Lepisosteus oculatus: one gene and its partners. Each later gene encodes a partner of the first gene's protein in a complex. Links are inferred from orthologs where the notes say so. Each region holds a gene or a part of one and is shown in the gene's direction. Other genes may lie near its edges. The genes, in order: rab8a, rilpl2 and rab3ip.

The links.
Region 2: the proteins of rab8a (region 1) and rilpl2 are in contact, whole or in part, in a crystal structure (PDB 6SQ2), measured with the Homo sapiens proteins. The link is inferred for Lepisosteus oculatus from reciprocal best matches to the Homo sapiens genes RAB8A and RILPL2. Residues at the interface, in NP_005361.2 of Homo sapiens: Ile41, Gly42, Ile43, Asp44, Phe45, Lys46, Ile47, Lys58, Trp62, Phe70, Ile73, Tyr77; in NP_659495.1 of Homo sapiens: Leu135, Leu138, Arg139, Leu142, Gln143, Arg145, Asn146, Lys149, Ser150, Leu153, Glu157.
Region 3: the proteins of rab8a (region 1) and rab3ip are in contact, whole or in part, in a crystal structure (PDB 4LHX), measured with the Homo sapiens proteins. The link is inferred for Lepisosteus oculatus from reciprocal best matches to the Homo sapiens genes RAB8A and RAB3IP. Residues at the interface, in NP_005361.2 of Homo sapiens: Lys10, Phe33, Ser35, Thr36, Phe37, Ile43, Asp44, Phe45, Lys46, Ile47, Trp62, Ile73, Ala76, Tyr77, Arg79, Gly80; in NP_783322.1 of Homo sapiens: Ser199, Arg202, Asp203, Gly206, Leu209, Glu210, Thr213, Ala214, Phe217, Glu218, Ala220, His221, Val224, Asn228.

The regions. Positions count from the first base shown.
Region 1 is NC_090724.1:5,175,573-5,179,322, reverse strand, and holds the start of rab8a (ras-related protein Rab-8A), read left to right. Parts: upstream 1-1,197; 5' UTR 1,198-1,239; coding exon 1,240-1,363; intron 1,364-3,750. UniProt on the Homo sapiens protein: The small GTPases Rab are key regulators of intracellular membrane trafficking, from the formation of transport vesicles to their fusion with membranes.
Region 2 is NC_090717.1:7,609,739-7,613,488, reverse strand, and holds the start of rilpl2 (RILP-like protein 2), read left to right. Parts: upstream 1-950; 5' UTR 951-1,270; coding exon 1,271-1,558; intron 1,559-2,484; coding exon 2,485-2,636; intron 2,637-2,752; coding exon 2,753-2,860; intron 2,861-3,750. UniProt on the Homo sapiens protein: Involved in cell shape and neuronal morphogenesis, positively regulating the establishment and maintenance of dendritic spines. Plays a role in cellular protein transport, including protein transport away from primary cilia.
Region 3 is NC_090702.1:23,324,723-23,328,472, reverse strand, and holds the start of rab3ip (rab-3A-interacting protein), read left to right. Parts: upstream 1-1,377; 5' UTR 1,378-1,560; intron 1,561-3,750. UniProt on the Homo sapiens protein: Guanine nucleotide exchange factor (GEF) which may activate RAB8A and RAB8B. Promotes the exchange of GDP to GTP, converting inactive GDP-bound Rab proteins into their active GTP-bound form.

The DNA.
Region 1 (3,750 bases):
TATCCTTGTGTAACAAGTTAAAGCCAACTTCAGATTTTCTTGCGTCTATGAACTTGAATAAAGCGCTCTCGGGGTAATCCATAAATCGCGCTACTTGTATAAACTAACAAACGACAGCATTTTAAAAATCAAGAATTTATATAAACTTTATAATGTACAAGAAGCGTCCTTTTCACGGAACCATGCTTTTGTTACGTGAAAAAAAAACCTGCACCTCAAATCCAATTATAATATTCTTAATGTATTAAGCAATCGTTTAGATGTTTAATTTTATTGACCCATCAAAATACCACAGGCGCTAAGCTGACAAGAAACTACAGGAGGAGATTTGAAATGGGGTTCGTATCAGTGGCTCATATCAGTATGGGCACTGTAATCAGGAGAACGCCTCTCCTCAGTATAGCTGTTCTTGCACTGACAACCGGCATTCAGAATACATTTCTGCTCGCCTATAGGGCTCAAGTGATTTACGTGCTGTACTTTTAATCTCTCTGCGCATCTACACGTTTTTACAGCTCTTTGGACTCTGGTCGCTTTTCAATTCCCAAAACGAGGAAGTCCTGGCAGATAGTCCTAGCTGTGGTATTATTCAGTAGTATTTAACTTATGCAAAGGTGTGAAGAAAAGCAGATCTGATGTCGAGATTGTATCTCGTTCTAAAAACTGCCACTGAAGGAGTTTAAGCAAAAAAAAAAAGCATGTTACAAATTGGTCAGCGCTATCAGGGTTTATGAACATCCAAAGATTCACAGGTTCCCCAAAACACAAAGCAAATGTATAATTGTGTAAAATCAACAATCTTGGGACAGTGGATGTGTTCTTCAGAACTGGCGGCTCGTCGTTTATAATTACCAGTAGCATGCATTAAAACTTTTAAGATTTTTAGTTTCATGATGCATTTTGAAATGGGTCTTCATCATAATAGCTCCCCCAGCCACAGACCGTGGAAACACTTTGATCTATACTAACACAGTACCTAAGCACATCCTCAAAACCTGCACTCCTAACTTTCCTTCAAGGAGCTGGGGGTGGGCGTAGCCGGAGCCCGGCTGCACAATCAGAATTCCCCTTAGGCTTGATTGACGTCAGCCTAACCCCGACTTCCGGAGCCACGACGACGGGGAGGGGCTTCCCTGTGAGTGACGCGCCACCTAGTCAATCAGGAGCCGCGGTTGTCCGGATTGGCGTTTACGCAGCTCCCGCAGAGTGCCGGGCGGGATTTCCGCAATCGCGAGTAATATGGCGAAGACTTACGATTACTTGTTTAAACTACTGCTAATCGGGGATTCGGGAGTTGGGAAGACCTGCGTTTTGTTCAGATTTTCAGAGGATGCCTTTAACTCAACGTTTATCTCCACTATAGGTAGGTCGGCGTTTGCGGTGAGCTCCTCTGGTCGGGTAAATTGGAAAGGGGGGGTTGGCTGTATGTTACTGCGCTGAGACAACCCCAGTGCAATCAGCCCTGTAGCTATACCAGTCCGCAGAATACACCTCATGTCGGGCATGAAATGAAAGAAAAACATCCTAAAAGTTGTACTGCGTGCCCTTGCACGCTGTGCGTTACAACGCGACACTTGATTGTAAGGTAGTGAGCAGCAGGGTCTTGGTTCAGTTATAGTTTTGTAGATATACGTGTTATGATGGAGCACAAAGGTCTTGGTATTTCCTTATGCGGTGGCTCCGTGGTATTTAGGCTGTGAACTATAATATATATTTATGCAGTTTCCTCGGCTAAATTGGGACGCGTTTTTCGCGTAGTGTTTGAACACATGCTCGTTTGTGTAAGACCCCACAGTTTTTTTTTTTTAAAACGAAACGTTAGCGCTCTAAAAACTTGCTGGAGCTAACTTTATAGGAAGTATTGTGAAGTGTCTATCCGGTTTCATTTTTTATCGCCCGGTGGCGGCCCGGCAGACTGCAGGCTGCGGAAACGCAACTTCTTTGGGGGTTAATTCTTATCTCGCCTCCGGGCTTTGTCAAGTACTTTCTGCCTGGACGTCTGTGATACGACATGGACAGTATCTGGGTCCTCGTCTGGCTGCCGTGGAGCTGTTACAAAATAAATGCATGTAGGAGAGTTGAAATAGCATCATCCCCCCGAGCTCACTTCGCTGTTTTTATAGCTTCCTAAAAAGGAGATGGATCTTGTTAGTGTCGAACGGAGGAGACTCCGAAGGAACCTCATACACGTATTCAAACCCCCCCAAGGGCACTGACTGTCAGTTTCTTCAGAATGAACCGTGAAACTCGAAACGCGGGATACGAGTGGGAATCTACGTGGCAGTTCGTTTAAAAACAAGAACAAGAGGCACATCTTTACCACAAGGGTTGTGGGAGTGTGGAGCACACACTGTGGTTGAAGCCAGTAGCCTGGCTGCTTTCAAGGAACAGCTGGATGAGATGCTTGGATGAATTAGCTGCTGACTGTCTAAGGGAACCTTTTTTATGTTCTTAATTGTTGCGTCTCTGGAAAAACAAGATGTTGATGCATCGCTACTTTTTCTACAAGATCAGAAAATGTGGTTATTCAATATTTAACAAGTTTCTTTTCTGGTGTGCTGGAGTACACTGGAGATGGATTAAAAGGGGTGGAGGGGTTCTGTTTTTTCATTTCTACCTCCCTGCTGACTGTATTTTTAAGACCAAGAACAGAGGGGTCACATCTTTACCCCCAGAGATCTGAACAATTAGAAAATGGACTACATGCGCCTCTAGTGAGTTTAGAGCTGTTGTGTATGCTCAGCAATTTAGTTTTTTTTATTTCAAACTATTTACACTTTCCTTCTCCTCAGATGTGTTGTGCTTAGTTGAAGGCCAGTGTAGTCCCCTTGGGCTTGGTACAATGAGGCAGTTTATGCGTATTCTAATTTGAGAAAGGCTTGTCAGTTCCCTCAAAAAGCTGTTGCATCAAAAGTTCTGTCATACTTTTGTTTCTCATTTAGCCAAAGGGACTGATGCTCAGCGACAGCCCTCTGACTGAGAGGATGTTGCCCAGCAACACAACAGAGCAACACAAGGCTCTGCTGCGATATCCTCCTCCTGACCTCGGCACACCCAGCTTTTATCTTCCCGGGTTTATTCAGAGCCTGGTAGGCTCACCTGATTGTGTACAAGACTGAAACAAAGTCCTCTTCCTCTCAGCGCAGGAAGGAACCAGGGCCAAAGTAAAACATCTTTCCGGAGAAAGTTAAGTAGAAGAGGCCTAGATACTGCTGGACAGGAGGAAACTAGAGCAGGCTGTCTTCGGAAAACCTTGACGATGACCGAGTTTGGTTTGGTATTATCTGCTGTCATCCCTGCAAGCCGCTTTCGAGAACTGATGTATATTTGTAGGTGTGAGTGACTGCGATGTGGACTTCCTTCCTATCTCAAGGCCTGAGCAACATCAAACATGAAGTCTAGCCTTCCTTTATGGCCCTGGGGAGATCACCAAGATTGCCTTTTGCATTCAGTGATGCTGTTTATGAATACAAGTCCTAAATCCTATGAGTTTTGTTTTTCGTACAAGCACATTCAGGCAATAGGTGCCATTCCCAGAGGAAACTTGTTCATTAGATTGGTGTTTCTCTTTTGGTCATGCTAATAAACCCCTTGAAGGGTTATTACCATTTTCATCGCTTTAAGTAACGATCACATCGCATCTGCTGGCAGGCGGTTCCAAAACGTGCCTTTCTTAAGATTAGGTATGGCAACAGCGCCGTCTTTGCCCATTGAAAGTACCTTTTGGAAAGGAATGCATGCTTGTTCCAA
Region 2 (3,750 bases), on another chromosome or scaffold:
CTTTCTTGAAAGCCGACTTTGAAAAACATTCAGCGTTTTGCAACTCGCTCATAATCGACTGTAACGCCAGTGTTGCTGAACATCAATATTGCATATTTATTTACAGCTTAACCTTAAATTCAAAATATCAAGAAAGCTCAATTAAAACGACAGTATGGGAAATCAAGATTTTTTAAGACTTACAATTACGTCCTTTTCCAAACAGTTCTAAAAAGCTCCGCAGGGTTTTAGACAGCACGCATCATCTCACTAAATTGTACCTTTGTGCATCTTCAAAAACACTCCGTGTTGAAACCGTTCCCGATCAGAATCCTTTCCGTTTACTGAGAATAAAGGACTGTTTTTTTCAACACATCTATATTAACACAAACCTTAACCAAAGACTCTTACACAGTTTTCAGAGATTTTCTCTGTAATATAAGAACCTGGCTGTAATAATTAAACACAAATAATGAATAGAAACTGTTTTAAGGGTGTAGCCACTTAATTACTGAGCCCATGATTTATCCTATTATTGCAATGCCTTTGTGCACTTTAATGTACTCTTCCAGTGAATGGATTACGATGAATGGTTTACTGCATACCTGTTTACATTGTGTATCCTTTAAAGATATTTTTGTACAGTGTATTGTTTGTTTTGAAATGAAAAAGGTAACATTGCATTCGCATTCGTATAAAATCAAGAATTTATTTTTTGGAGTTTACAGCTTGCATCACAGTAAATCGGTTAATTCATCTCGATTAAAAAAAAAGGTTAAATATAGATTGTCTTCACAGCAATGGGGTATTTTTATTTTGTTCACAATCTTTATTACGTGATAAAAAGTATCGCTGTAACCAAATTCACACACAGTAGCGGAACAAAAATGATCTGGAAACTCCGTCATACGCTTATAAAGTATCACATGCTGCGTTTCACCTGACTTGCTCGCTTGGCTTCACCTGTCACTAGGAGAAGCGTTGCCTCCTGAGATATATACAGACATCGCCGAAAGGGGTTTCACTTTCTGCGAGTACAATTGGCCCAAGGCCGCGTCAGTCAAGGAGGGACTGTGGCAAGTTGCCCAAAGTTTCCAAAAGAAGGAAGTTCAAAGAGGTTGTGCGATGACCAGGGACCCTCTCGCACTGCGAGCAAACAACAGCGAAAACTAACCATCAGACGGATCTGAGCTGACTTCAAAGCGTGAAGGAGACGTTTCAGCTTTTACAGAGACACTTTGTTGAACATAAAAACACACCACCGCGGGCGGCAGCTCCTGCAGCAGTAGCTATGGAGGGGCTGGACACGACCCCTGCTCTGGCTTTCGAGAAAGACGCGTTTGATCTGACGGTGGAGGACGTGTACGACATCTCCTATGTGATCGGGAGAGACCTGCTCAAAATCAACAGCGCCGGCGAAGAGGTGTCCGAGCTGCAGTTCAAAATTGTCCGGGTCCTGGAGATGTTTGAAGCCCTGGTGAACAGGCACAACCTGACGCTGGAGGAGCTGAAAATGGAGCGGGACAATCTGAAGAGCGAGCTGGACCGGCGTCTGAGTGAGGGGTCGGAACAGGGGACGGTGAGCTCTTCGTCTGCAGTGTGCACAGGAGACATTTCTTCTTCCTTGTATTACACTAGCTCGACAACTGGTCGATCCAATGCGCAACTGAAGAGCACTAAGAAACCTGATGCTATTCCTTGTTGACCCAGAATGAAGAACTTTCCCCTTTTATTTGAACTTTTTTTCAAAACGTCCCGTGAGATGAATCCGAGAAATGTTGCGGACAGTAGTTGACTTTTGAGTGTTTTTTTTTAATTTTCTATGTACCAGTTTTTACAATTACACGAGATAATACCTCGAGAAGTACATATTCTGACGTATACCTTTCATATAAAGGTATATAGTAAAAAAAACTATAATGAATTCTGACATTTACGTTTTTTAAAAATAATAAGTACTGCTTTCTAGTGAAGCACGAGTCGAAAAGTGATTTATTCTGTTCTGATTTGTTTTATGTGGGTCGCACTTGTGACCCGTTATTAAATGAATGGGAAACAGAATGACAGCTAACTCCTTCGACTGTGAGAGCAGCTCTTAATGTTCTACGGGAATTTAGAATTTCACACATGTGGACGTGTTCAATTTCTGGACATTGAATTCTGCGTTTAGCTGTTTCTCTCAATAACAAAAACACATTTTATAAATATATACTATTTGTAAAACGTTGCTTATAACCAGACTGCTCAAGCAGAACAGCTCAATTCTTTCACAACACTCATATTAATATTGACAGAGCGTGACTGGTCATATGTGGACATGGGATATAGAAAATAATCTAATTACAGTTTACTTTCAACAGAAGGTTTTGTTCGGGGGAGGAGAATAAATTCGGTGCCTCGTAATGCTTATCCACTGGAAATACTTTAGATTTCACCATTTTGTGCTAATTAACACGCGGCTTTTCTGGATGGGTCTCATCCGGAGAAATGATTCGTATTTTACAGATGACGATCGGTTCGAACAAGATGGTAGTGGACCTCAAGGATCCGAACCGGCCCCGGTTCACTTTGCAGGAGCTGAAGGACGTGTTGCAGGAACGGAACCAGCTCAAAGCCCAGCTCCTGGTGGCCCAAGAGCAGCTGCAGCTCTATAAGAGGTGTAGTCAGATGCGCTGTGTCTCTCCGCGTCCTTCTTGGAAAGGGTTTATTTGAACTAAGAAAACAGGGGATGACGCCGAATGGGGATAATAACGTGGTGTGGTCATGTCTGCAGTGGGATTTTGCCTCAGAGCGAGCCAGCCGCAGTTGAAGCGGATCTCCAGCCTGTACCCCCAGCGCCCTGCACCACGCCTAAAGAAGAGAAAACCACCATCCGGAAACTGTAAGTGTTCCCTTCTTTTTCTTTTGAAGAGCGTCGGTTTTTGTTTTTGTAGATGGTCATCCATATAAATGACCCTGTTTCAGTCTCGTCTATTTCCCCCGCAAGGTGGCAGGCTTTGGAAGAACGGGTTCTGAAAAGAGCCTCGATAAAAGGTGGACATCCTCCTGCATTGTAACGGCAGGACTGCGAGATAGGGGTTTCTCTTGAAGTAAAACTCCTGCCACCGTTTTATTCAGCGAAATGCATTTTTGGCGCACTCACTGCCTCAGATAATTGAATAGTGATGCATGACTTCCTCGTGAGTGGGCTTTGGTGGTGGATGTGTTTTCTGCGTGTGCCTGTGCAGCTTGTGGCTTCCAGGTACCTGGTGCTTCTGTCTCCGGGCTCGTCGTGTTGCCTTTGAGTTCTGGCCGCGCTTCTGTTTTCAACTAACGAGTGTTTGCGCCCTTTTGGAGTTTGACCTCGATGGGAAGTGCACCAGTGACCCCCAATGCTGAGCAAGAGGTCCTTTCCGAGTCGCCCAGCTCTTCCCTCAGCCCGTACGAGTCCGGGCTGAGGGGTCGGCTCTTGCTTTACCCTTTGTGCGCCCAGCCAGCCCGCCCCTGCTTGCTGTCTCCCCGGTTCGTGGGTGTGGTCACGTTATGGGGTTGATGCTCTGGTTGGCTGCTTTCCTTCTGCACGCAACCGACTCTGGGGACGGACTCTCGCCCCTGACTGGATCGGCGTCGCCCGTCCCGCCCACTGGAGCTCTGCCTCACTGGTGTGGTTGAGTTTTCGAGGAGCTGACCGTGTCTTTTCCTTTCCCTCCCCGCCCTGCTGGTGGGACCTGCGGGCCCTGGCTATGGGCAAGCTAACACTCCCGGCTGTCGCCGTACCTGGTCTTTCGAACC
Region 3 (3,750 bases), on another chromosome or scaffold:
CTCAGCTGACGGGTCCTTCAGTCTGGAGGCTGGCCCGTCACACCTTGGCTGTGTCACCTCTGGCTGGCTGTAGTGAAGAGCTCTGAGGTGAGGGAGCTGACTAGAATATTCTGATTCACTTCTGACCAGCTACAGATGGTGGAGTTTGGTAGTTTTGTGAGACTGAATTGTTGACGTTGGGGCCTGTGTCAGTCAGTATTCTGGTTCGGTGTATTTTCGTGTTATAAGACAGCAGCAGTCCTTGATTTACAAAAGGCCAAGGTTAATGATGCAGAATGTTTTGCTAGATTATCTCTCCCTATGCATGGTAATATGTCACGGATGTAGGAAAGGCAAGCCGTGGAATGACAAGGAGGGCGTAGCGGTGAAAGGGGCAACACAGAGGTTAGCCCAGACTCAGGGGGTCAGATGATATCGGAAAGAAATCTATGCCCTCAGGCCACAGACAGTAGCGACCTGGTGCTAGGCGGGTCTCAGGAAATCCGTACCCTCAATGCTGAGCAAGGAGTACAGCAGACACAGGAAGTAAATAGGCTACACAACAACAACAACAACACACGGGAAAAACATGAATAATCACAGGGAACTAGGAACAAGACAGAAGTAGAGCGCCCTCTGGATGCACTGGACGTGACAGGATTGTGGTAGGGGAGTTATACTGTAACAGGCGGCACTGTTGTACTGAAAAGACACTGCATTTATGTGTTATAAGTAGTGTATGAATATTCTTGAACAAATCACGCCTTTTTCTTTTGGCTAAAACAAAAGTTACTCTTGATAACGTTACAACGTCCTATTAGCTCAATTTACATTGTAGAGCTTTTTTTCTTTTGCTTTTTCTGTACAGTAATGGTGTGCGTCTCATGGCCAGGTCGCCACTTTAAACAAAGGATTATTCTCAACTGATTTATCTGGTTAAATAAAGGAATTTCTAGGGTTAGTTTAAATCGTGTTTCTGATCGACATGCAGCAGAAAGCACGATTATGTGTGTGCAACGCATCCATAAGGGTTATTATGAAAAAAAATAGAAATATAATTTCCTCAACAATGTAATTGTATTATTTTGTAAGAGAACCAGGAGGGTAAGCGCTTTCACAAGAATGTTTTCATTCATGAATGAAAAACGGCCGTTTCCACAACTGTATGTTAATTCAGATGCGAAGGATATTTGTTTTTCTTTTTTGCTCCAGTCCATGCATCCACTTATCGCATTAATCCACATACGGGGTTCATGTGCGGAGATATTATTATTTGACGTACAGTAGTTTGAAATTTCCACCATCAAATCACAGATGCGTGTGTACCATTTGTATTACGGTTGTGACCGGGTAGCTACGCCTGTGTAAACATAGGGCGGCCGCCGGGGCGCGCATGCGCGGTTTGCAGTCGTGTTCACACGCAGAAGAGGGAGCAGGTGTGCCTAGAGCTGATCTGGCTGTGAGCTGTCTTTCTCCATCCTTGTCTCAGAGAAGTTACCTGTCTCTCAATTGACCGTCTCTTTGAAGTGGACATTTTCCTGTCTGCAGGGAATTTTCTTCATTAGCTTTCCTAAGCCATAGGTAGGTAGCTGCTGAAATCATGATCCGATCCTGGCACAGTTGTGCAGGTAGCGAGCTTCGCCTGGTGTTGTGCTGTGCGATACTCTAGCAATCAAATGTTTACAGGCAGTGTGTTTTTAAAATAAAGGGGAGAAACCACATTACATGGATTGTTTCTGGACTTTTACGCGCTCGTAGTTTTTTTTTTGTCGCATTTTGAGATTCGTATCAGACGATTAAAGCCAGGATCTGTGTAGATTCCGAAGCGAATCAACCTCAGGAAACGCTTATTTGATTTAGCCTCAAGTTATTCCACGGGCGCCCATTAAACGTCGCGAATGACCATTTTTTCGGGATTTAGTTTTCTAGCGGGTCCCTGCAAAATGATGTAATTAGGGGTGAAGATTTCAGCCTTCACACCAGCCGGTCTCGGTGGACATCCTACCTGGACATGAAACGAACTGATACATAATGCTTTGTAAGAGGATTATTTCCCTTTAGTGGGATTTTAGAAAAAGGGCCGCACGATGCATTGTTGGTTTCAATCAAAAACAGACAAAAAAAAAAACCCAACAGCAGCCAAAGGCACGAAATTTGATTGTGCGTGCTGTTGATCTCCTTTGTAACAACGAAAAGGGGCAAGGCGTTTTTTTGTGCCTTTTTTATTTTCGGTACTGCAGTTTTTAAGACCAGGGCAACAGTTTCGCCCCCGGGTAATGTGTTAGTTGACAGAACAAAAATCCCTGATTATGGAAAAAATGGGGAACGTCTCTCGTCGAAAAACTCCGATCCCTACATTGAAAAATAAAACTTGCTGTTGACGTTTAATATGTGCATAATAGAGTAAGAGCACTGGATTATCTTGCCTGTTTTATAAAATCCATAATTTAACGAACGTTTCTGTTGCGAGTCTTATTTCCGTCCTGTATTCCTCATAGTTTGGTCTGAGATCGAAGAGCTTTATTTTATGCGAAAGGAATCGTGGTTTTTCTGTCACGCCTGTACTGTATAGGTAGACACGTGCGACAAGACAGGAGGTCCAAAAAATAATTGGTTAGACACGGGGACGCAATTTCGTATTTTGTGCTTCAGCTACTGTCGCTTAAAAGAATCTGGGGATGTTGAGCCAAAATACACTATTGGAATCAAGTTTGTTTCATATTCGAAGGCAATTTGACTGTTTTAGGTGCAATATCGAGTACATTTACATTCCTGTTGCCCTAGTGTGTTGAAACCAAACGATTACTAATCCTGCATGAGATGTCTGCGATTGACGTGCTTTAGTGGACATAATATGCTGACAGAAATAGTGAGGTAGCCTAGTCAAATCGAACAAAATTGGTGACGAAAACGCTTTGTGCAGATTAAACTCCTTTCAGTAACGGCATGTCATTTGTCAATCTGATTTTTTTTTTTGCCGAGGGAATTTTGCATGGATACATTTGAGTTTAGCTTAATTCTTAATATTTTAGTCAACGTTAAATATTAGGCAGATTGCACAAGCGTCTAAACCGCAGTTAATTGCGGAAAGAGTTGGAGCAGAAATAGCCAACAAAACAGGCATTCAGAAAGCATCAGGTTTTTGCGTTTTTCCTTTTTTTCCCCCACTAGCAATGACAAGCTAGTGACAGGATAAAAACAGTGAGGCCCGTTTATAGTGTAACACTGGATACAAAGCCCTGAAATATGAGCGTGGTTAGTTGTGCAGTTAAACCAACAGAGGCAGGGGCTGTGCTAGCACTTTGTTTGTTTTAGACACAATAGGACACTCCTGAGAGGCACATTACAACGCAGAACTGTACTGTGTAAAACACCGTGCCCAAAATACTGAATTTCTCCGGTTTATATGTGTCTCGTCAGTCTCGTCATTCTCTTCAGAGTTGTTTATGGGAAAATACCGACGTTCAAATATCTGAACTATAAAGGGATATCCTTCTTGTCCCTATTTTCTTTTTTCTGCCCATTTGTGAGTGTGTCTGAATGGAATAAGTGTGGTCTGTACAAGAATTTCGTTTTCAGCTTTGGCAAAGGCACCAGGCGACACAGAATGCTTGCCAACATTTCTGCAATTTCAGGGAAAGGTGCTTGTCCTGTTCAGGACTTTACTGTTAATTTTAGAAAATGCTCACCACTCAAAGCCTCCCCGAGAATACAATCAAGAAGCCCCAGCTATGGTCTTCCAGCTAAGCTATTCTTGCTCCTTCACATGGG